3 linked regions of the Drosophila melanogaster genome follow. The protein of the gene in region 1 interacts with the protein of each later gene in a pairwise test. Each region holds a gene or a part of one and is shown in the gene's direction. Other genes may lie near its edges.

Region 1 (6,815 bases):
GCTTGATCTTTATCTAAATGCAAATGGGCTTTAAACTTGACTAGATGGGCGAGGGACTAGTCAATACGCTTTCGTCTTGTTTTTAGCACCACAGGGTTTTTATACCACCATTATTCTTTAAGCTTATAGTATAAGTTTAAATTTAAAACTATTACGATTTCGATGATTTTGACAGTCAGATGTCAAGAACACATGCCCGGCTAGCTCAGTCGGTAGAGCATGAGACTCTTAATCTCAGGGTCGTGGGTTCGAGCCCCACGTTGGGCGATGTTTTTTATTTTAATTCAAAATTAATATACAATTAATAAACATTTTTTGAGCTCCACTTTCGGCAATTGATTTTTTACTAATTGGAAAATTATTAAGCATATTTAATTTGCCTAAAATGAGTCCCAATTAATTTGGAAGCTAAAAATAGTTTGTGTATATATGATACAAATGCATCTTGTGAATCTGCATAACCATTTCGAATAAAACAAAAGGCTAAAGGTATTACAACAATGTTTCTAGGTTTGACAGCAAAGCGCCCGTTGCCTTTAATCCGGCTTATATGCGCATGTATAAATATGCTTTCTCATATTTAGCAATGTGTTTATAGAAGTAATTTATAATTTTTATACCCGTATACCAAAGACACTAGAATAACTAGAATTTACTATAATAACACTAGAATTCTAGGGTCTTTGCTTATACTATATTCGTTAAAAAGTATGTACCAGGCAGAAGGAAGCGTTTGCGACCATTTTCTTATGTTTTTCTCATATTATTCCCCAATATCAATCGATAAGCCAGAAAAAATAAGGAAATTTCTAGTTGACATTGCCACTAGCTGAGTAACGGGTATCTGATAGTCGGGAAACTAGACTAAAACATTTTCTCTTGTTTTGTTATGAGTTGAATATTTACGATAAATATTCTATATTGTCAATGTAATTTATGTAAAGTAAATTTGGGCCTAAACTTATTTGTTGCAAGCTAATTGGCGACAATTCTTTGGCTACTTTTAAAAGGCTATTGATTCTCTCTTGGTAATATTTTGATCCTTTAAATTCTCTTTATATCAATTTGTATGATTCTTAAGCTTAATCAGCAAATGTGAGCTTTTATCGGCGATCTTCACAAGTGCCCGGCTAGCTCAGTCGGTAGAGCATGAGACTCTTAATCTCAGGGTCGTGGGTTCGAGCCCCACGTTGGGCGAATTTTCTTTTTTATATTTAGAAAATAGTTTTATTAAAAATGTTCACTAATTGCTTTCATTGAACTTTTCGATTCTGTGCGTTTGGCTTACGCCTGGGGTTGCGTGGGCTATAAGACGAAAGTCAATTTCTATGTTTTGTTTATTTATAGACGAGTTACTATATAGTGAAATACCATCGACAAGACCTAATAAGTTTTTATTTATGGCAGCACTCGCAGCTGTTTCCATTTCTATAACAATGCCCCGTGAGCTTCCCCCTGTCCCTCTAGCGTTGGCGCGTTTGAAAAGTCTGAAAGCCATTTCAAGGCTGAATCTCAACTGGAAGTGGCAGTTCACTGTGGCACCGAACAGGATGTGGACAGGATGCCATCATTCAGTTCATATGTGGAGCAAGGTCCTTAAGCTTTGAAAACAATTGTGTTAATGTGTACAATTGTTATGTCTAGCTGCTATGTTCGGAAAAAATGGATAAAATATACAAATCATTTTTTGTTTAGATCTTGACGCAGGTCACCATTGCAACCCGTTCCATATGCCTGCTTCCTCCCACATGGAGACAGTGAAATCTGAGATCAGACAAGAATGCGGAATGCATTTCCCCTTCAGACTCCACAAACAATTGGAGAGCATGAGAATCATCTTAGTTGTATTAATTACTTTGCATTATTCCATAAATAACTTTGCGGGAACAATTCTAGATGCTGTTCCCTCTGTTAATGTGGAACGACTGATGTGCATAGCTTACTTGGTGTTTTGAACTGTGCCGAGTGCTCTGCATGTATGATGTCAGCTTCAACAGCAATCCAAGGCTAGTTAATTAAAATGAATATGAAATTGCACTTGTGATTCACAAGCTGTGATTAAATTGCGGAAAGTGTCCATTTGACTTGTTGTAGGTGTGTAGTTGTCGCACCCAATTATGCAAAATAGTTACGGAATTTATGAAATCGTTTAATTTTCGATGAAAAAAGTAAAAATTTAATTTAATCAAGGAGCCTACAAAGATTTTAGCATTGAATTCAAGAAGAACAAAAGGTTATACTTTTACAAGTATAACAATCTAAATGCCTATTTGGCATACAAGTTGTTATGCTAATGGCTAAAACCTTTAGTATTTAGCTTATATATCTTAATAAATATAAGATTAACAGGAATGATTGTTTTGATCGTTTAATAAGGACTATTTTCATTGGCACTGATTTCCTCGAAACTTGTTATGGTTGAAGTGAGCTTCTTGCTTTAAATGTCGATTTAAAATAATGTCTGGCAAACAAAATGGTTGTAACTTTGTTGCATGTCGAGTGGATACATGATGACATGATAGCAATGATAGAAGAGATCATGATGGCAAGTACTATAAAAGGGTCTCATCCCACCAGGTGATACTATTGTCATCATGAGAACTCTCATGCTGTTCGTATTTGGCTTTGCTAGTTCCTGGGCCGCAGACTACGAGCTGTTGCTGGAGGACCCTGATATCTTTTCACCCTGCACTGAACCGCCGCCGGGATCGATTGGATTCCACGATGCCTTCGATATTGGCGATCTGGTAGTCGACCAGGACATGGACATCATTCACCTGTCCGAGAGTGTCACCTCAATCTGGGATGTGGAGCCCACAGATCGCATATCCGTAATGCCCGCATTCCTTATACGAAATAAGATTATTAATAAACAATTGCTTTTAAGGCCAGGTTTGCAATAATGCATTACAACCGCGGCAGCTGGGAACCGACTGTATTTAGCATGGCCACGCCGGACTTCTGCGCCTCAATGTTTGATGAGAATCAGTCGTGGTTTAAGTACTGGACCAAACACATTTCGAACCGCGATGAGGTGATGGAGAAGTGTTTTAAAACGCGTGGTGTGAGTTTTCCCTGCAAACAAAACAGTCCATCTCTGGCGCGGTGACTTTAACCTTGGGATTCCATTACAGACCGTTATAATGCACAATCCATTCGATCTGCAGCTGCGTCTAACGGACATTCGTGGTGCAACTCTCAGGGGTCGTTACAAAGCTGTGGTCACCTTTGAGGCGGTCGATGAGAAGGATGTGCCACGCCGTAATTCCATTTGCTTCGAAATCAGGGGAGAGGCCGAGAAGATAAATTAATTAAGGGCTTAATCTGTTCAAGGCGCGATATCAGTAACCTAAAAAACAATATAAACCCAATATCTACATATTTTGAAAATAAAAAGCAATCTTAAAAATATAAATATAAATAAAATATATCAACTATTCTGAACTTGATATATGTACTTGATTTGGTACAAAGTGTGTAACAGGTGACGCGAACCTTTTTTTTCGTTTGATCAACCTTATGCCCGTATGTGATCTCGGGAGCTATAAAAGCTATATTGATAAGATAAGGGATGCAGATTATAGAGAAGTACTTTCAGAAGATTGCCACGCCTACTCTACCACACCCTCTAACGACCAAAAACCGCCCAAAACTGTCACGCCCACACGGATATGTGATCGCCAAGAAAATCTTTGGGGAATTTGTTTTTTGTTTCAAACTTGTTTTTTTTTCTAGCCCAAAAGTTATTATTATTAAAACATCTTGTTTTACAATGTTTAAGCACGAATATTTTCAAGGGTCACATAACGTGATTTGCCAATTATATTGTTAGAGTTTGACAACGTCTGATTAACAGGAGATGGTTGTTACATTGTTGCGTGTTGAATCAATGTACGATGGCATACCATGATTAGATGTCATCATTTTAAAAGGTGTATAAATAAAACATATCAAAAACTCTATTGTGGCAGTGGCTATAAAGGGGTCGGATCTCACAGTTTTCGGTTCTATGGTCATCATGATATTTGTGCTGCTACTCTTATTAGGAGTGACCAGTTCCTGGGCCACAGACTATGAATTATTGCTCGAGGATCCGGACATATTTTCGACGTGCACTGATGGTCCTCCCGGATCCATCAACATCCGCCAGGCACTCAACTTAGACGACATTGTAATCGACCAGAAAGGGGATATACTTCATGTATCCGGGAACGCCACCGTCGTGTGGGATGTGCAGCCCACCGATCGGATTACTGTAACACAAACTGCAAGCTTCGGAATAATCATCGATTCTAATATCAAAACTCTTGCATCCGTGTAGGCGAGACTTGATGTTTTTCACTTCAACCGCGGCACTTGGGAGCCCACTGTCTTTAGCATGGCCACCCAGAACTTTTGCTCCATCATGTACGACAAGAACCAGTATTGGTATAAGTATTGGACAAGGTTTATAACCAATCGCCATGAGGTGGAAAAGAAGTGCTTCAGAGGGCCTGATGTAAGTGGAGTTCAAGCAATTTGACAACCAAATACGGTGGAATATAATAGCATATGGGAATAGTTCTCATATGGGATGCAGATTATTCATATGGTTGTGTGCAAAGGACACTACCATTTTTTATTGCACAATATTTTGAAAATATTCTGATTTCTTACAGACCGTTCTGGTACACGAGCCCTTCGATCTCATACTAAAATTTGAGAATTTTCGTGGACCTCTTCTTAGAGGACGTCATAAACTTGTCATATTGTTTAACGCACTAGATGAGAGGAATATACCGCGCCCAAACCCAATTTGTTTGGAGATCATAGGAGAACCACTAAAGTTGCAGTAGTTGGAACAATAGACTATTTTGTTGAATGTGTATTTTTTTTTTCAATATTGTATAATATTAAACATAGTGTTCTTAATTCCTACATTCAATAACAATTTAAACATTGCATCGTGTTTTAACAGATCTCATAACTTTAGGGGCTTGTTTTACCTTCCATATCCCCAATCAGTTAACTTCTTGATTCGTTTTGTTTTGTGGTTGGTGGCACGCGTTGACGGCAACTTGAGTTCAAGTTGCGGTTTCCATATCGGCTAGCTGCGTGTGGCAAGTACCTTCTCGGGTAACGACGTGCAGACAAAGGAGAACCGTATACTGACTGCATTTTTTTGGGGTCATGACTGCCGTTGCTGGATGGGGAATATGCAAATACAATTGTCGGTTATTGGATTACCCGATGATGATTGGCATAAGTTCCGATCGATTCAAATCGCAGCAATCGATTTGTCAATTTGCAAAGCTCTTGCCAATTCACGGAAAATGTTTCTTACAGATTTGCGAAAACTTTTAAACGGCAGGGAGGTAAGCCTCGGAACACTTTCATTTCATATTCCCGGCGAATAATTTTCTACTTTCTAAACCGAAGAGCCAGAAACAAAGACCGTCTTTAGGTGCAAATTAGCAGCGCACGATTGTGCAGGCCGCTCCGGGCAATCCGGTAAAGTCAACATCTGGCCAAAGCCGAAATTATGGCCGCGGGCACTCACTATACTATATAGTATATGGTACGTCGGACCTCATAGAAAATCAATCAGTGCGGACTTCTGCTTCGCAGGCAGGCTCTTGGATTTAGCATAAGAAACGGCTCTTTCTGGAGGCAGTGGCTTTGTTCGCCAACCCAAAAAGCTGGCAATGTAGGACGTGGCGACGGCATGGCTCTGAACCCGTTTTTTTTGGCCATCTCCGCCTCTATCCACCTAGCCGCTGCTGGGAATCTTTGGGGCCTTATCGAGGAGCAGCACCGAAATAGCAACAAAATTGCAGCATGAATGGGGCTGTGAACCAGCTGGAGAGCCGGTCCGTGTGGGCAGCCTTTGTAGGCTATTGGAAAGATCAAGAGTTTATAATGCCAGCCACACGTTTGTTGTTAGCTGTGTGTTGTGTGCATGGGTGTGGGTCTCCTCGTGGTGGTTGTGTGAACTTTTCCAGTTTGCTCTGACTGGCATAAATTGTGGGTTTTTAGGTGTCTAGCTCACTTCCCGGCCGAGTTGGCTTGCCAAGATAAATGGATACACATGGAGCGGTTGTGGTGTACTATATGTGCATGGATGCACCACGTCCATTGCACTCGCTGTCTTCCCCTGCGCTTAGACTCGATTTCGATGTCTGACGGAAACTGGAAAGTGTTTTGAATACAACCACGAACTGGCGGGAACGAGATCTTTCAGCTCGATGACTGGTTACTAAACAGTAAACAGTAAATACTCTAGAAATATGAGGACAATGAATAAAAAGTAAATGCATTCAAACCACCGCTAAGACAAACATTTAACAATTTCAGTAGCTAACTAAATGGATCTTGAAATTAAGTTGAAAAGGGGTTTTGTTAGCTGCGGCACTTTTACTATGCGTCTGGCTGCTAGGCAATCCAGCTCCACTCGCCCATTCATAAGGCGATGCCCGAACACTGGGATCAGGACCAGCTGAGCTCTCTCCCAACGCTAGCACGAAACACAACATCCACGCCAACGCGGACGCGAATGGTTTGGGCCTGGTCAACGTAATGACAGCTTCGCGTGTTTTGGCCCGCGAGTGGATGGCTGGCTTATTGGTGGTGGCTATATCGCTCCACGACTACAAAATGCTCATTCACAAAACGCCGACAAGACGCTGCCCACGCATGCGAGGCAAGAACCGCTTATCAAGCTGTCGCTGGCGGTCGGCTGTCGCACACAAAAAATGGTTTTGCAACAAATAAACAATAATAATTTGCATGTGGGCCGCGTCTTGGAAACGTGGTTCAATCATTGAAAAAATCAGCTT
Region 2 (8,699 bases), on another chromosome or scaffold:
GTTCAGCTGATCAACGCCATCGATTTTGGTTAGCAACTGATTGACGACGGTGTCGTGGACACCACTATTTCCGGCCACGGAGCCACGCTGCTTGCAAATGGCATCGATCTCGTCGAAGATGATGATATGTAGTCCACTGTTGGGACCCAGGCGTTTCTCCTCCTCCTCCGCCTCGGCAAACAGACGCCGGACATTGGCCTCCGATTCGCCCACGTACTTGTCCAGGATCTGTGGACCGTTGACGATTTTCGGCTCCCGGGCGTTTAACATAGTTCCGATTTGGCGAGCCATCAGAGTTTTGCCCGTACCCGGTGGACCATAAAGTAGAATGCCCTTGACATGCTTGCAGCCCAGCTGCTCGACCAGTTCCGGTGGGAAGACACGGGATGCGAAGGCTCGTCGAAATATCGAATTGAATTCCTTGTCCAGGCCACCGATGCCCATTTTGCCAAAGTCCCAATCCGGGTTTATAATGGACTGGCGGACCACCTTGCCCTTGCTCTTGCCCTGCAGATTCAGCGAACTGTTCTCGGCCTTCTCGAACTGCACCACGGTGTTGCCAAGGATGCGGCCGAAGCGGACATTACGCATCGCGGTGTCCTTGCCCTCGCCCAAGCTCTTGGGATCGATGGCCTCTAGGGATTTGACGGCCAGGCCGAGAAGTTTCTTGTCCTTGAAATTGAAGACCAGTGATTGGCCAACGGTGAGTGCCATTCCGGCGAATTGCATGATGAACTCCTTGGCCATTTGATCGGAGTCATAGGGTTCCTGGGAGACACTGCATAGGATGGTAGATAACAATCGATATTACATAATATCCTTGACGCCGTATACTATATATATGCACTCACGTCTTCTTCTGCAGAAAGTCCGTCTCAAAGGACACACAAGTGATGACATCCGAGCTGGCATCAAAGCGATAGGGACGAACCTCCAGTTCCTGATTAATGGACACCATGGCCCACTTTCGTTGGACCAGGGAGAAGCCAACATAGCCGCTGGGCACCTCCACCGTTTTCTCCAGCGCAAAGATGAAGTGCTGACCCGGAGCCGGCGATATGTCCGCATATCTGCAAGCGATGCAAGTGGGAATTATATATATATATATATACAAACAATGGACTTTTATGCCCGTTAGGACCACATACTTGATTTCCTCCGGAAAATCACCAACATTCACTATAGCCCGATTGGTCAGCGAAAGCTCGTCCGTGGGACATTTGGTGGCCTTCAAAATCTACGGAAACCATTATAAATCTTTAGTAACTAGTCAAAAATAGTGCCGTAGTGCCTATAAATATTGGTATTTCAAACTCACATAAGCCATTTCTTTAGATTCTTGCTGATTTTCACGGGGTTGTTTAGAATTTGACAAAAATCAATAATTATAATCCAATGGAAGTACTTTAATGGTCAGAAAACGCAGCTTTGTGTGCGAATTAACGTTTGATATTTGTTTACAGTATCACTGAAACAGCATAACTATATATATATATATTAATTTTTGAACGAATTGTGAACTATATCCTTTCTGAACTTTCAAGGAAGATGTGATCTAAAATTTTATTCAGCACATGCGCCTAGGAATCCAGGGCTGGCGAACTTGTTAGTACATCCATATGGGATTTGGTTTTTAAATATACGTTTCTTTTGCCAAGTTTAATAACTAACGACTCGTATTTGCATGATTTTTTTTTTTAATAATAATAATTAAATTTATAAAGCAAGCGGTTGATTTTTTAAATTGGTAGAGTGCTCGAGAGCTCTTTAATATAAAAGTTGTATATGTATAAATATTAATAAATTCTCGCCGGGCTTTTACTAACAAAAAATGTAATCATTTAATTTTTTAAGATTTTCCGGTAAGAGAAGTCTTAAATTGCTACCGCATTTATACCAGAAAATTCGTGGTCCACAATAATCGATTTATCGATAATATCCGACTGAACGAAAATTCAAATCTAGTGTGCGAGGAAATTTAGAGACGAAAGTTTACGTATTTAAGCGTCCAGTAGTCATTGAGTTAAGTGTAGCTACCTGATTCGGATAATTAAGTACTTTTACTTTTTTGGGAGCACAACAAAATTTTGTTCTCGTTCTTACTTTTACACAGCAAAATTTTATAATTTTTTAAAATTTTTCTGCCGGGCTGTTCGACGAAGCAAAATCAATTTACCAGTACTACGACGGTGAGTGACGATGCCAATCGCTAACTTTCTGTACACACGTATGTTACCATTCCGAGAAAGTTTCTAGATAACAAACACGGCCATTGCAGCTTACTTGTATAATAAAACACATTTCTAACACGCTTTTTACACGACAAACCGCGGTTCGATGTCAAAAGTTCGATGCAATAAGATCGACCACTGCTTGCTGGGCGCAGTTCGCGGCATTAAGCCGCCCTATCGCTCGGTGCGTAATGCCCAAGACGGCGTGATTAGCACCTTCCTGGACAAGTACAGTAGGCCCAATTATTTTGCCATCCGCTTGGTGATACCCGCCGAGTTGCCACCCATCGATCTGGCCGAAATACTTATGGACATGCTAAAGATGCAAATATTGCGCCGCAAGAATTGTATCGCGTCGTCCAATTGGGTCAGGATGAAATATATATGTCAATACGGCAGCAAAGCCGATGAGACGTTCATCATGCATGACAGTGCCATGAGAAAACTGCAGCAGGCCATTGAAGAGCTCACCAATCTGCTCGATCAACTGAAGCTGGCGTATGAGCCCGTTTCCTATGGACGGATAGCCGTGCAGGCTCAACAGTTGGATAAGCGGGCCCAGATATGGCAGAATTTGCTCAACGGCCGCAATGAGCAGTTGGAGCGCCGTTTAGCTCGGGACATTTCACTCCCATATCCTCCTGCAATAGATGCCCGCATGCGCATTTCGAAAAGTTATCAAGTTATCAACCATATGCGCACTTGGCGTTTCGGCTAAGGTCAGCAAATTAGAATTTGGTCGAATTTGTTTGTATATCAATATGGTCACTAAAGATGCTGCTGTGATATTTTACCTTGCTTTTGGATATATATACATTTCTTTGGATAGCATCTACCTGGACTGAGACGTTCTACTGTCATAGTGATTCTGATGTCGTATGACTTCTATATTAACTTTAAATTAATCGAGTGCAACGCATGTCGAGATTAATAAATAACATATCAACAACAAAACACAAACTTTGACTTACCTCCGCGCTGCCCGAATTGCAAACAAAGAGAATGATGTTATCCAGCCCTCTAGTGTAGTGGAACTGCTTGTGCGTCTGCTTGCTATATGTTTGACCACTGCTTGCACAGCGCACATGTATGTTCGAACCATGTTCGAACCATGTTCGATGGTAGCTCAGTAGCTTAGTGTAGCTCTTCTGTGCGAAGCATTTTATTTTTCGTTTGCCCGTCGAAGAAGGCGAAGCGAAGAGAAAATATCTGCCGCTTCGAACGCACGCTATCAATGTCTAATTCTTTACGTAATAATCATTTTTTTTTTTGCTGTGTGACTGAAACGAAGAAATATACGAGCAAAAGTGAAAAATACGTGGACTACCTGTTGATCCAAAGATCTCAACGGATTTAGTGTGTGTGTGTGTGTGTGCGTGCGTGTTTTTTTTCGGTTCATTGTTTTGTTTGCAATAGTGCAAAGGAAAAAGTAATCACTTTGCCGTGTTCGGTGCACGTGCACGAAATATTTATAAAATATATATTAAAAAAAAAAAACATAAAATTAACGATGTTGGAGCTACCGTTTACCACCATACGGCCCAACTGCCGGCTAAGACAGAATCTTGGTATTCTGATAATCCTGCAATGCGTTCTCACTTGCTACAATTTCAACCTAGAACAGCGATTGCCCATTGTGAAGTACGGACATCCGCATTCGCATTTCGGCTACTCGGTGGCCACCCACACTATTGGCGAGGCCAATGGGCCCAACAAGACCAACTGGTAAGTGGATAGTTAAGTGGATAGATAAGTATCTGAAAGATGCGTCCAAAGTATGCGAACTTCCAAAGTGAATCATTATCTGCAGTTCATTTAAACGCTTAGGCATATTTTTATTTTTCAACAATCAATTTTAAACTTGCATCCAAAAGATTTATTCGAAAAGTGTCTTGTTGTCTCAGCTGTGTTTTTTTTCTTTAGAAAAATGTTAGGTAAACAATAATGCTGAAGAACAGGTAGAGAAGAATCCAAATCCAAATTCGTGTCCGAATCGGAAATTCGCGCCAAGAATCTTGTTGGTGCGCAAACAGGTTTTTATATTCGCCAAATCGATTTCAGCTTAATTGACTGGCATTGATTGTTATTAATCAGCAGCACACGAACAATAACAACAACAACAACAAATAATAAAATAATAATAATAATAAGAAGAATTTGCATTGCAATCGCTGTGTTTGTTGCTGTTGTTCAGGGGGGGGGGGGGGGCTATCAAAGTTTGCTAATGCGCGAAACTTGTTTGAAATCGTGTTTTTATTGTTGAATTACCATAAATTGTTTGAATATCGAGTATTTCCAGAGATGATGCCAGGTTTTAGATGTTTTTCGAATCGAAACAAACCATAATAAACTGAATGCATATGCCAAATGCAATGACAGCAGATAAGTGTTAAATATTATATTTGTTTGTTTCTCTTTTTTTTTTTTCGAATTGCTATTTGAAGAATTTCAACAGTTTAAACGATTTGTCATCCTTACTATCTGAGAATTTGCCTGTTTGATATTTTATGGTTTTGATTGTTTATTTTTGTGCAACTGATAAGCATAGTTGGTCGAAGAACAGACGAATTGTTTTAATGTTTCCCCCGACATGGGTTAAACCCTTGAACTATTGCGACTGAAGCGGATGTGGATTTATTTGCATTTGTCATAGATTCTTTTTGGCGAGGGCTTGGTGCTCATTAAATGTCTCGTATTGGCGACTTTATAAGTTGGCCAACTCCTTTTCGCATTCTCTATATACAATACAAGCAATACATAGATAGATAGATAGATAGATACATTGGCCAAACCAAACTCGGTAGACAAAACGGAGCCAGACGGCCAGTGGCCATAAAAATGGGCAGACAACAAATCTGGAATCAATACAAGCTGCGACTTGGATGCGCCAATTTGCAGCGAAAAAAACTGAGTTGCTAACATTTTAATACATTTAATACAACTGAACTGGCAATCGAGTTATTCCCGCCACATGGTGTGGTTTCTTAACCATGTATTGTGGTAAAAAAAAAGAAATTGTGCCATTCGCGGCATGCCCCATCGCTATCACTCGGTGCGTAATGCCTACGTAGGCGTGAAAAAGTCATGTTCCCCTTCTCTCTCTCTTGCCAAGTAGTGCCCTCTCCTTCGGTCACCCGAATAAGGGAAAGGGATATTATTATTATACTTATCATATATATGTTTATATATATCATTTATCGGCCGACGAGTCTAAGTGTACCAGCCTGAGTCATTTGGGTTAAGTAACGAAATGTCACGTATTGAAAGTCCAACTGAAAATCAATAGACCTTCAAAAAAAAAAAAATAATAAAAATAAATTTGCAAATGAGATGCATGATAAACTTTGAGCTTTAACTTCAATGTAATGGTGATATTATATGGTGGTGACCCCGTTTGGCAAGAAGTGGTGACCCACGCTGTTTCTTAAATCTGCATCGCGTCTTTAAATGACGCACTTGAAATCGGAAGAAGCTGTAATCCAAACGGAAATTGCTGTTTTTTTTCGCATCGAAGGCTAGTCCGATAACTGCAGTGAATTGCACAGTTAACTTGAATTTCCAGCTCGTTTATTGCGCGCCTTTTGTTTTTCAGTTTTGTTTGCACTTTGCGATTGTCGCATATTTGTTTTATTAATGAAAAAAAAGGTACGTATGCAAATAATGTGACTCGCTTATCGCTGGCCCATCTTAATTTTTTTTTTGTACCAGCCATATATACCAGCGGTTACGTGGCGCAATTATTACCTTTGATGATATGGTACAAATTGAGATAAGCCGCTGAGGATGGTCGATTAAGCTATACAATTGTTTTCGTACCCTTGCCGTGGCATTTACAGCGCCATAAAAAATGTGTATATATGTAGGCGACTTTTTTTAATTAGCACCTTCAATCAATCGGCATTAAATAATGATTGGCTTTGTTAATGAACTACAATTTCATTGCGCTGAATACTCAATATATTGCAGATTGAAAATGGTATGAAAATGCTAGCACGATTTTAACTCGCTTGCATGTAAATAAATCTCTGAGATTCGGTGTATCTCGTAGATGTTGTATCTCATGTGGGATACTTCTTCTGCATCGCGAACAGCTCACTGGTTGTGTTTATGCCGACAACATGTGTTCCTTGTTTGCGCCAAAAAATATAGAAGAGAACAAAAACTAAGAAAGAACTTAAAAAACTTTTCGGCGAAATGAGGTCAACAGACGCCAAACAGTCGCAAGAAAGGAAAGGTTGGGGGGAATGGTGGTGGTTGGTTGGTTGGGTGGTTGGGTGCTCAATGGGGTGGGCTATCCACTGGGGGCTGGTCGACAGTTTATGGTTATTGTTGTTGCTCTTTTACTCGCTGCTGGTGCGTGTGTCTCCCGCCAAATAGTTGAATAGTTAACCCAGGCCCAGCAACACAAAAAAAAAATAAATAAAATAATAAGAAAAATATGGGAACCCAACCCAAAAGTCCATTTCTCATCTACCCGCGCACCCAGCACCCCCTTTTCCACCATTTTCCTATTTTTTCCACTCGTAAGCAAATGAAGCCAAAAACGCGAAAACGAAAAGCGACAAGGAAATGGCCAAAAAACACTTGCTAAGGCAATGTAAGCTGGCAGACATGTGTGTATGCCATAAATATGCGCACTGGCACCCACAGTGAAGGTCACAAAAATGCATGGAATTTAGTTAAATATTATTTAATATATGTAAACTACAAATAATGTATTACATGCCAAGAAAGTTATTTGAAATATTATTTTTAAAATAATTTAAACTACAAATGTAAGCTAGAAATGTATTTGAAAAAATGAATGATTTTACTTTAATTTCGATCAGCTGCTTACTATTTTTATGACCGCTGGTGTTCATATAGATTCTCTGTAGGGATCTTTGGGCATTAAGTGCGGACTTTTCGACTTTTCTAAGGCGGCCGAAGCAAAAAAAAAAAAAAAAGGAAGAGATGGGGGTGCGACTTCTGGCAGCCAAGATCCATGAGAAAAGTTCACTTGTTCATTTTTGCCAACAGTGAACACTTACAGTAAGACAAAATTGTTTTAAGATCCTAGTTTTAATATACAGCATGTGTGATATAAGAAGCATTAAGAGCACTTAAGGAAAATTGCTTAGATATTTATCTATCTATCTGTAAACTTTTGTCATACTGAGTGCCCACTGTGGAAGTGAAGCCGCCTGCTCAATGGAACGTTGAGCGGGCCATAAACATGCGTGAAAATTCAATTGATTTTCCGGGGAGCAGAAGGCGGCATAGTTGGCATGCGTATTTATAGAAAATAGAGGAACAGCCTAATGCTGCACACGAAAATAAGAAAATAACAAAATAAAAAATTGCCTATTTTGGTGTGGGAAACAAGAGGCTGGCCTATTCGGATTCGCATCGGAAAACCGATCTGGCAACTGGGATTGCGAATGGGATTGCGATTTTGCCTGGGCAGCCGCCAGCTGTCGAGTGGCGAGATACAAGACGGCGCAGATATTCAGATACTCCGAGAGACTTGCAACATAATTTCTGCCAGCAACTAATGAGACCCCAGGCTCCGAAAGTGTTGCCACAGCCTCAACTCCATGGAGCTGCGCAAAAAAAAGCGCGTGGGCTTTGATTTATTGCCAATTGGATGGCAGTCGCACAGCAGAATCGCGCTGAAGAGCTGCGAAGATTTGGGGCGGAGAGCCGCCGCTTTCTGGCCCCACTCGAAATCCCAAATCCGAATCAAAATCAAAGAGGAAAAAAATAAAAAACAAAATCCCATGGCCGCGTGGGTTAAACACGAAGTTGCAAAAACGAAAAAAAAAAAAAATCAGAAAAACGCTCACGATGATTTTGCGCATAGAAATCAAAGAGCCCACGCCTCGGGCTCTTTAAAGTGAAGAGAAGAATCGGCCCACTAGAAGAACTGGGCACTGAAGATGCTAGCGACCTCCGAAGAATCGCGTCCCTAAGCGAACGATAAATCAATAAGCTCCGAAAATGTGGCAACCGCTTCCACTCTGCCACCGCTCGAAACTCCGACAAATTGCCCACTGGGCTGGGCAACCGCAATCTCTTAATGACGGAGGATGGGCCAAAGATCAGTGGGCTTCGGCAGAGGATCAGCGAAATCCAAGCGACAAAACAAAAAAAAAAAAAGGAGCGACAAATGTTGGGTACTACACAAATGCAGGCTTTAAGAAGAACACTTCTTCAGTTCCCAGGAAGCATCTTCAGAAGAGAAGTATTATACCATATATATGTATGTATATTATATATATGCATATACATATATTATGTTAGAAGAGTAAAGAACATAAGATCCAATATTATCTGGATCATTGGAATGCTCGAGATGAGTTCAATTAGATAACTGGGTTGTCAATTTAAGTGTTTGCATATAACTAACTAGAGTATGCGAAAGCCAGACCTCGACCGAGACGAGGTGGGAACCGCAGATCCGAGATCAGATCCCAATGCCCGATCATC
Region 3 (8,515 bases), on another chromosome or scaffold:
TAGAAATTATATTTTATTTCCCCATTTCTTATTTAAAGCTACAAATGCACCTTTCCTTTCTAGACATTGAGTGAAGAAACAGAGAAAAATATTATACCACATCATTTTGAAAGTTAATTTTATTAAAATAATTATCAAAAACGTTCATCATAAATTTCCATATTTCACAAATAGATATCTCTAAAACAATAAGAAACGTTTTTTTTTAAATTGAACACGTTTTGTTTTCTGTGTAGGGAAATTATAATAACAACAACCGGTGTGAGAAAATAACAGATTGTCCGCATGGGATTTACAGGCAGCAATAACAACAATTAACAGACAAGAAGAAGGCCGTAAAAAGCAGTTAAAATTGGAATAAATTATAAAAGCGTTACCCAGTTTTCCACGATGCCAGTTTTCCATTGTTATTGCCACCAATTCTATAGTATTTTCACACACACAACGCACTCATACACCCACGCAGGGTTGTTGCACTTGGCAAATGGAAATGTAAAGGCGCTGTTATTAGAGCGGCGCTCTGCTAACTCGCTAATGACAATAGGGAGACAGAGCGGGATAGTTGCGAATGACAATAAGAGAGACAAAGCGGGACAGTTGGCAACTTCCTTGGTCGGTGTTGTTGTTGCTTCAATCATGTCGCTTTTGTTGCTATTGTTGCATGTTGCCAAGTGCCGTTGCTCGCACTAATTTATGTTGACTGTTGGCAAATGTAGGTGCATGTGTATTGGTGTCTCTTTTCATGTTTGTGTGCGGAATGTAAATGATTGAAATTCGTACATATGTACATATGTATGTAATAATGTATAAATGAAGCGATGGCCAAATTTATAGGGATTCTTTAAAGCTCCGAAATCAAGAAATATACAAAATGTCACGTATTTTTACAGGTTAATTAAAACTTGTTTGAGCCCAAATAACCCACATTTCTTCTCATTTTATATTTGAAAACAGGTTTAATCCATTTTAACTACGCTTTGCTTAGTGCTTTAAATAATCCTGATATAGAATTCAATATTCATGTCTTTCAAAAATTGAGTTTAAAAGTTTCTGTTAATTAATTAACAATTGTTACACAACTGTATCTGTGTCTGTACATTTCATTTTGCATTTGAATTAGTGTTGTTCATTTAATTTTTCTCGTCTCCCACAGTTTCTATCTCCCTCTTTCACCTCCTAGATGCAACAAATTAAGTTTCCCACACATTGCAATTTCAAGAGGGCGACAAAATGGAGAGGGGAGATGGAAAACTGTTAACGAGCGCTAATTAAAATGAAATTATGTGGCGGGTGTAAAGTTACAGTATCCAAAGTTGACACAATTTTCACAGTTTAAAGCGGTTATCGAAAATGAGCTACATAATTAGCCAAAATCATTGAGAAAACGCCGCTCGCATCACTCACGCATAAACTTACATATGCGCACACACACACGCAAACACTTTCTAATTTGAAACGCCCCAAAGTGGGGAACAAAAACAAAATAAAAGAAGTACCAAGCAATTGGCTTCGCTGTAACTGCCCACGACGAATGTGAAAGTGAAATTGGCGAAGATACAGCATTCGCAGTGGCCAAGGGGCGAGGGGTATACCTCTAACATAGAAGAGAGTGGACTTTAAACATAAATATTTACCGCTACCTTCTACACAGTAGTTTATTTCGTGAGAAAGAAACACAATATAAGGGTAGCTTTTAGAAAAGCTGTACTTTTTTCTATTAAAACTTTTCAAAATATTAAATGAAACCGTATATATTATTATTCACATTTTTATTAGGATTTCTAGCAAGCTACTACATATTACTAATCCAATCTTGCTTGTAAACGTTTGCTAATATAATTATATTTACGTTGAAAACAGTGAAATGCGCTACATTAGCACCGCCGACGGGGGAACCAATTAAGTTTTTAAGTGCACTGAACGCGGAAAGCATAAAAACAAGTGCGTAAAGTGGGCGCAACGTTTTTCGTTTATTATGCAAAAAGAGGGGGGGGGAGGTAGGGGCTTTACTTTGGCAAAGACTGGCTTGCAGCGCTTGAGAAATTTTCAGTACGACTAAAGCTTAGGCTGCGCTTTAAGGTTTTTTCCTCGTTTTTCCATTTCGTGTTTGGTTACACTCCACTTCGTTCCACTTCATTCCATTTCCATTCCACAAAACTCCAACTTCGCTCCACTGCGTAACAAAATTACAAGACACACTCACACAAACTTGCAACAAGCCGACAACAACAACAACAGCAATAAGGGAAGGGGGGAAATTGTCATGTTTCTGATTTCAATGCAATCGAAATATATATTGAAAAACGTATGTGGTGCACTCGATACTCCCCAAAAAAGTTGGGGGACTTTTCGCTTACTTTGCCTTCACATTCACATTCGCGTTTGGCTGTATTTTCCTTGGTTTTTGTTTTTCCCTTTGCACCGATGTTCGTTTTCGCGATAAAAAGGTGTCTGCTACATTTTCACGCGCCTTTCATTTGCCTGCGAGCCGCTTTTCATGCATATTTCCACGATCTTCGGCGGTCGCTGCACTTAAACGTTAGACAGCCATTTTGCATTTGTTTCTATTAGTAACTATTGCGGAGGAGAAACAACAACGAATTAAACATTTCACGCTTTAGGCCATTTTCGCCTGCGCGAACAGTGTGACCGTTTCGCAGAAGAATGAACAAAGCATGAACTATTAAGGTCACATTTCAAACTGTTTACATTTACAGATTTAAATATTTTGGGAAAATCATAGCCAAAGTAAATCAAAAACCTGGAATATCCTAATTTTCAATTACCCACTTTCATAGTAATAATTAAATAGACATGTTAAAATAATGTAAACAACCACAAATTTATACTTTAAAATGAAATCTACTTTAAATATGGTGATTATAGCTGAAACATTGGGGATAATAGTTAGTTAGAATATCTAAATTTTTAATTTTTAACTTTCATAATAACAATCAAAAGGTTATTTGAACATTATGTAAACACTGAAACTAAATTACTTTTAACATTCAAGTGAAGTTTTTATTTTATTGGGAAAATTGGCAATAGAACTTATCCAAAATATCGATAGGCCACTTTGGTTTGCGTATAGGCTGCAAATCCAAGCAGGTTGCAAGCCATGCTAAGCCTCATCAAAGTTATTCAACCACTTCTTTGGTATCTTCTAAGGGTCACCACTTTTCGGTTTTTAGCCTTTCTATACCCGCTGGTATATTTGAACGGCCGAGCTAATGGTCGCACTGATACAAGAATTTTACGTTGGACGGACGCCTCGATGCACAAATAAAATTTTTAAAACAAATCGGGTGCAACGGCCAATCGCGCAAACAGTGGCTCAAATCGGTGGATTTTAGCACGGGAAATTTTAAAAAAATTTGAAAAATATAGTACAATCGAGCGGGTGTTTTGAAAAAGTGCAAAAGGTCGAAAAGTGCAGGCGACACTGCAGTTCGGGGTTCCTTGGAAAAAGAGCATCTCCAAGTGGTTGAAAAACCAGTTAAATTGCAGCTACTTTTTAAGGAGTTACCTATTTAAGAATATCAATCCGCGCCATGGGTCTCAACGGCTGCTGTTCGTGCGTCAAATATCTGATGGTCCTTATAAACATTTTATTCTGGGTATGTAGATTCCAGCAGCAGCAGCAACAACAACAATGCGAGATTCGGTTCTCTCCCATCACAACAACAACTGGAACACACGGACCTCCTTTTCGCGCGCGTGTGTGTGGGTGTTGCGTGAGCGAATGTGTGTGTGTTGTGTATTCCCTACGCCCCTCTTTCTCACGCTTGGCGCGCGGGCGGAGGGAGGAGCCGTGCGCACGCTCTTTGGAGTCCTACCGCTCTTTCAGTCCCTCTTTCCACTCTCTCGATCCCAGAGGTGCCCAAAACATAAGTTGAAACTTATTTAAGTACGGCTTGAAATATTTAATCGAAAAGGAAGTAAAAAATATAAATAAATAAATAATAAAATAAATATAATAATATATTAACTTAAATATTTTTTTTTTAATGAGCGGGCTTAAAAACATTAAATGGACAAGATTATATAAATATTCAAGTACGCGGTTAATTAAAAACATTAATAGAAGGGTTTTTCTTTTTGAAATTAAACAAATCGGTTTTGTTTGTTATGAACTATTTGACTTTAAATTATTTTCTACCATTTATAACTTCAAAACTTCAACTGGCTTTTAAAAGCGACATCACTGTATCTCTCCATCTCCCGCTCGCACTCCCTACCGCTCTGCTCGTACTCCCGCATAAAAACAATAGAAGTTCCGTTGTGGGAGGGGACACACACACACACAGACAGATAAACATTTAAGCATCTCCATTCCCACCTCCCACTGTTTTCTTTTCCCTCCACATGTTTGTTCAGTTGTTTTTCTTTTGCTTCTGTCTCTTCCTGTCTCTCTTTTTTTGTTTTATTATTTTTATAACGTATACGTGCCGTTGATATTTTTACAAACTTCGGTTGGCTTAATTCGGTAAAAAAGGACCTCTCCTCACCCCAAAAAAAAGGGTTTTACTTTCTTTGGCCAACTTATCTGCTTGTTGTTTTACGCAATTTTCGACTTTCAACATAGCCTCGTTAGGCTTTCAATTGTTTCCATTCAATTACTATCTGCCACAGCGATTGTTTGCGTTTGTTTTGAGTTTCCTTGAGTTTTTCTTGGGGTTTCCTCTTGTCTTCCGCGGCTTGCGAAATCAGTTTCGCTTTTCCTTTGGGCAACAAATTTAAAATTTTGATTCTTATGCGGGCTGATTTCTAATTTTTTTTTCGTTCGTTTGTTGATTGTTGCTGCCTTTTTTCGATTTCTGTCTATAGTATTTATTAGTCAAAAGCTATTTTCGAATACGGGCGAGGAACAACACAAACTTACGCGTCCGTTCAGTTTTTCGTTGTTGTACACAGAAAGAAAATACTGATGCCTAGCCAAGTTTCGTGTTTGGAAACTTTCGAATACCTTTCAATTATTTTTCGTTTATTGTATATATGTCATGTAAAAAAAATTAAAATTAACCGATCCCAATAAGATTATATCCAATAATTGGTTTCTGTGTAATGTTCCTTGATCTGTGATGTTTTAGTATTCATCGTTGTTGTTGTTGGATGCACAGTGGTGTGTTTGATTTCAGTGGAGGAACAATGAGCGATAGAAATTGTGATGTGTTTGTGATGCAGTTCGTTTCACTAATCGTTTGAACTATTTTTAGAGCGATTTATGGATGAAAGTGCGTCAGATATTATTTTATATAAGACTTTTTATACATTGTTTTGAGGCTATTCTTAGCCAGGGCATGTTATCAATTACCCCACAAAGCCATAATAAATTTAATAATAGTATTTTTATATAACTTCGCAAAAAATGACCACTGTCCGATTAGTTTTGAATCTCGCTCTCCACTGTGCATCGATTTCCAAACATTTCCATTTTCATCGTCGCCGTGGGGCATCGTGATCAAACGCCACGATCTCTGAGGACGCTGACGCTCCAATGGGGCCGATATCCCACATCCAAGATGCTGGGGGAGGCCTATGCCATAAGCGTCTAAAATGCTAAACGGCCGGCGCTGTCGTCATTGAAGTTGACAGTGACCAAAACTGAAAGATTTCCAAATATTCGGTCGACCATCTGACAATCCTATCCTGTCCACCCACTAAAAAAACCATTTATTTCAGCACAGTCAGACTTCCATAGTGCAGAATTCTTAAATTCCTGAAAAAAATGTAATCTTTTGCTGTGAATAAAATAATATTTAAAAATATTTCTCCAAGTAACGAAGCTGGCCTGTATCTATTTTCAATTCGCTGTGACATGTCACATCTACATACTTAATTCGCTGTGCTATTTTTCACTCAATTATTCATGAGTGGCGCTTCATTCATTTTTCAGTTTGTATTTTCAGCTTATGGCTGATGCATGATGGCTGTTGGCTGCGATTTGCCATCGATGCGGTTAATTGTGGGACAAAACTGTGACTGGACATGCAATGCAAGCCCAGCTGCCTTTTGGCCCCATTTTATTTTTTTTTTTGCAATTTAGCAGCAGTAAAATGCTCTCTCGTTTTCCGCTTTCGACGCCTCGGCTCTGAAAACTGGGTCAACGAAGGACTCTGTACATTTATTGGCCCATTCGGCAGGATTTTTGTTTGTTTGTCCTGGACACGCGACATAGTGTCAGATGTGTAAAAATATATGTGTGTGAAAACGTTCGGGGAATCGTAAAAATTCCAACAAACAGAGCTACAAACAAGGCGTGGATTCAGTTCGTTCAGGGATAATGGGACTGATTCAAAACGAGGTCAACTTTTGTTCCCTAAAAGGATAAGGGAATTGAGGTTTATCCAAAGTAGTATATACATACACATACTTTATAAGAGCTCTAGGAATAAACCTCTTCTTCAGAAACATTTTTTTTTTTAATTCAACACATGAACAAATTCAAGATTATGTTACTGATCCATACCCGAAAACCTGACCTGGAAAAATAAGTAAAATCTATGCAAACAAGGGCTTCTGGTTACAATGTACTTACTCAATAAACTGCCCTCGAATGGGGCAACATTGTATTACGTTTCCATGAGTAGTTTTTCCGTTAGCTGCACACATGCACATTCATGAACTTTAGGGCCAGCATATCGTGCACTTTGTGGCACACTTTTTGTCTCGCTCACTTTATGGCAGCTCTCTCTTTCGTGGACCACCCACATAAAAGCCGGTCTCCGCTTCTCTTATATTTCATAAGATTTTCATGAAATTTACGAGACTTCCTCATGCTTTTTCATCCGTTTTTCCTGGGCGCCAAAAACTGTATCTTATATTTTGCTGTATCTTTAAGTTAAATAGATATTTGCTTATTGCGAGATCCACTGCGTAATCTTATCGGAAAGCACTGATGCTCTTGGCAATTACAAAAGCTTGCGGGCTGAGAAAAAATACGAGATAAGAAGTGTTTTGTATTTGGAAATGCTTCTCAGTTAGCCATCGGTTCTTAAGTGGTTCTAAATTTACATATTTCCCATGTAATATGTGCACTTGTTTACATCTCTTGATTAGCTCTCATCGCACACTCAATTTCCCTGCGATGAATAATTTTGCTGAATAATTAATGAACTTGCATAGACACCTCGACCAACCCATTAAGTCATTACCTCTATATTAGATTCTCTTACTCATTGCACGAGCGGAACAACATTTTTCTGGTGGATGGATTGGCAATAGCAAGTTTAGTGTTTAATATCTGGGTAGGAAAATTTAAGAAGAAATACATTACCGGAATTCTTTTAGCGGAAATCCAAAGAAAAGTTCATATTTCGTTTGCTGATAACCCGAGAAGTGAGATAACACGAGCTCGCAATTCTCATATTCTCGCTTGGGATCAATGTCTTGCCACTTCTATATGTATATACATACAGTATGTCTTGGCGATGAAGGCCAAAATTTAACTTTAAACCAAATTTTATCGCATCATTGATTTTCAAACTTAATGGGCCTTTTCTTATCGGGTTTTGAAAGTTCGGAGCTCAAAAAGCTGCCTTTGAATCTGTATACTGGATAGAATTACTGATTTTTTTTTTAACAAATTGAATGGAATGGGGAAAATTGTAATTTGTACTTGGTTTCTGTTTACTGCCTTTAATTAAATTAAAAGAAGCGCAACAGCAGTTGCTATGTATATAGTCTGCGTCCAACTAAGCTGACATCATATGTATGAAACTATAGAAGTTTAAAGCAAGGCGAAACTGGGCGGGGCAGTCTCCCACTTTAATTGCCGCCTTGCCGCCAGATGGCGTCATTGACGCGTGTGCCCAGCGTGAGATGGATGCAACAATTTGAGAATTACAGCGAAAATGTGTAAAAATAGGTAATGCTCTACTATATTTTGTATTCTTTTCGCTTGCAGCTCATCGGACTGACCATCGTGGTGACCTCCGTTTGGATGCTGACGGATCCCACATTTATGCTGTCGATGACACAGAACTACAATCATTATCACATAGCCCTGTATGTTTTCCTCGCCATCGGCATACTGATCACATTGGGCGCATTCTTTGGCTGTTGCGGAGTCTGTCGTGAGTCGCAATGTCTGCTGGTTTCGGTAAGTGAAAAGTAATATCATAACCAGTGTCTGGGAATTCCAATTAAAATGCATGCAAATGTGTGGCCCACACGGTTCCGCTCATATGATTGCAACGGAGGTTCGCCCACAATGTCTTGGCAGTTTGGCAAAACGATGCACTTGCCAAAATAATTTTATACCTAACTAAATTGGACTGTGAATACAGAAAATTTATCCAATAGTATTGCCATTTAAAGTACTTATTAAATATATATAACAGAAAGTATATCTTATACATATAAATGATGTAAAGAAAACAAAAGTTGCACTTAATTGGAGTTCCTTATTGCGAGTGCAAACATATCTGTCTTAAATCGCAACCAGTTTATTTACTCAACGCCCACGGGCCGGACTCCGTCATTCATAAATCTGAAATTCTCTTGCAGTTCTTCT

What was found. The genes of interacting proteins can lie anywhere in the genome.
Region 2: the proteins of CheB42b (region 1) and mew interact in a two-hybrid assay, tested with the Drosophila melanogaster proteins (one large-scale study listed by BioGRID).
Region 3: the proteins of CheB42b (region 1) and Tsp96F interact in a two-hybrid assay, tested with the Drosophila melanogaster proteins (one large-scale study listed by BioGRID).

What each region holds. Positions count from the first base shown.
Region 1 is NT_033778.4:6,941,190-6,948,004, reverse strand, and holds CheB42b (chemosensory protein B 42b), read left to right. Parts: upstream 1-4,009; 5' UTR 4,010-4,018; coding exon 4,019-4,255; intron 4,256-4,321; coding exon 4,322-4,498; intron 4,499-4,658; coding exon 4,659-4,835; 3' UTR 4,836-4,909; downstream 4,910-6,815. Other genes in the region: CheB42c (chemosensory protein B 42c), read left to right, coding at 2,595-2,831, 2,888-3,064, 3,135-3,311.
Region 2 is NC_004354.4:13,251,874-13,260,572, reverse strand, and holds the start of mew (multiple edematous wings), read left to right. Parts: upstream 1-3,389; 5' UTR 3,390-3,741; coding exon 3,742-3,956; intron 3,957-8,699. Other genes in the region: comt (comatose), read right to left, coding at 1-778, 852-1,070, 1,149-1,237, 1,319-1,327; CG15742 (uncharacterized protein), read left to right, coding at 2,338-2,949. UniProt on the Drosophila melanogaster protein: Integrin alpha-PS1/beta-PS is a receptor for laminin.
Region 3 is NT_033777.3:25,876,118-25,884,632, reverse strand, and holds the start of Tsp96F (tetraspanin 96F), read left to right. Parts: upstream 1-3,205; 5' UTR 3,206-3,551; coding exon 3,552-3,617; intron 3,618-7,906; coding exon 7,907-8,101; intron 8,102-8,508; coding exon 8,509-8,515.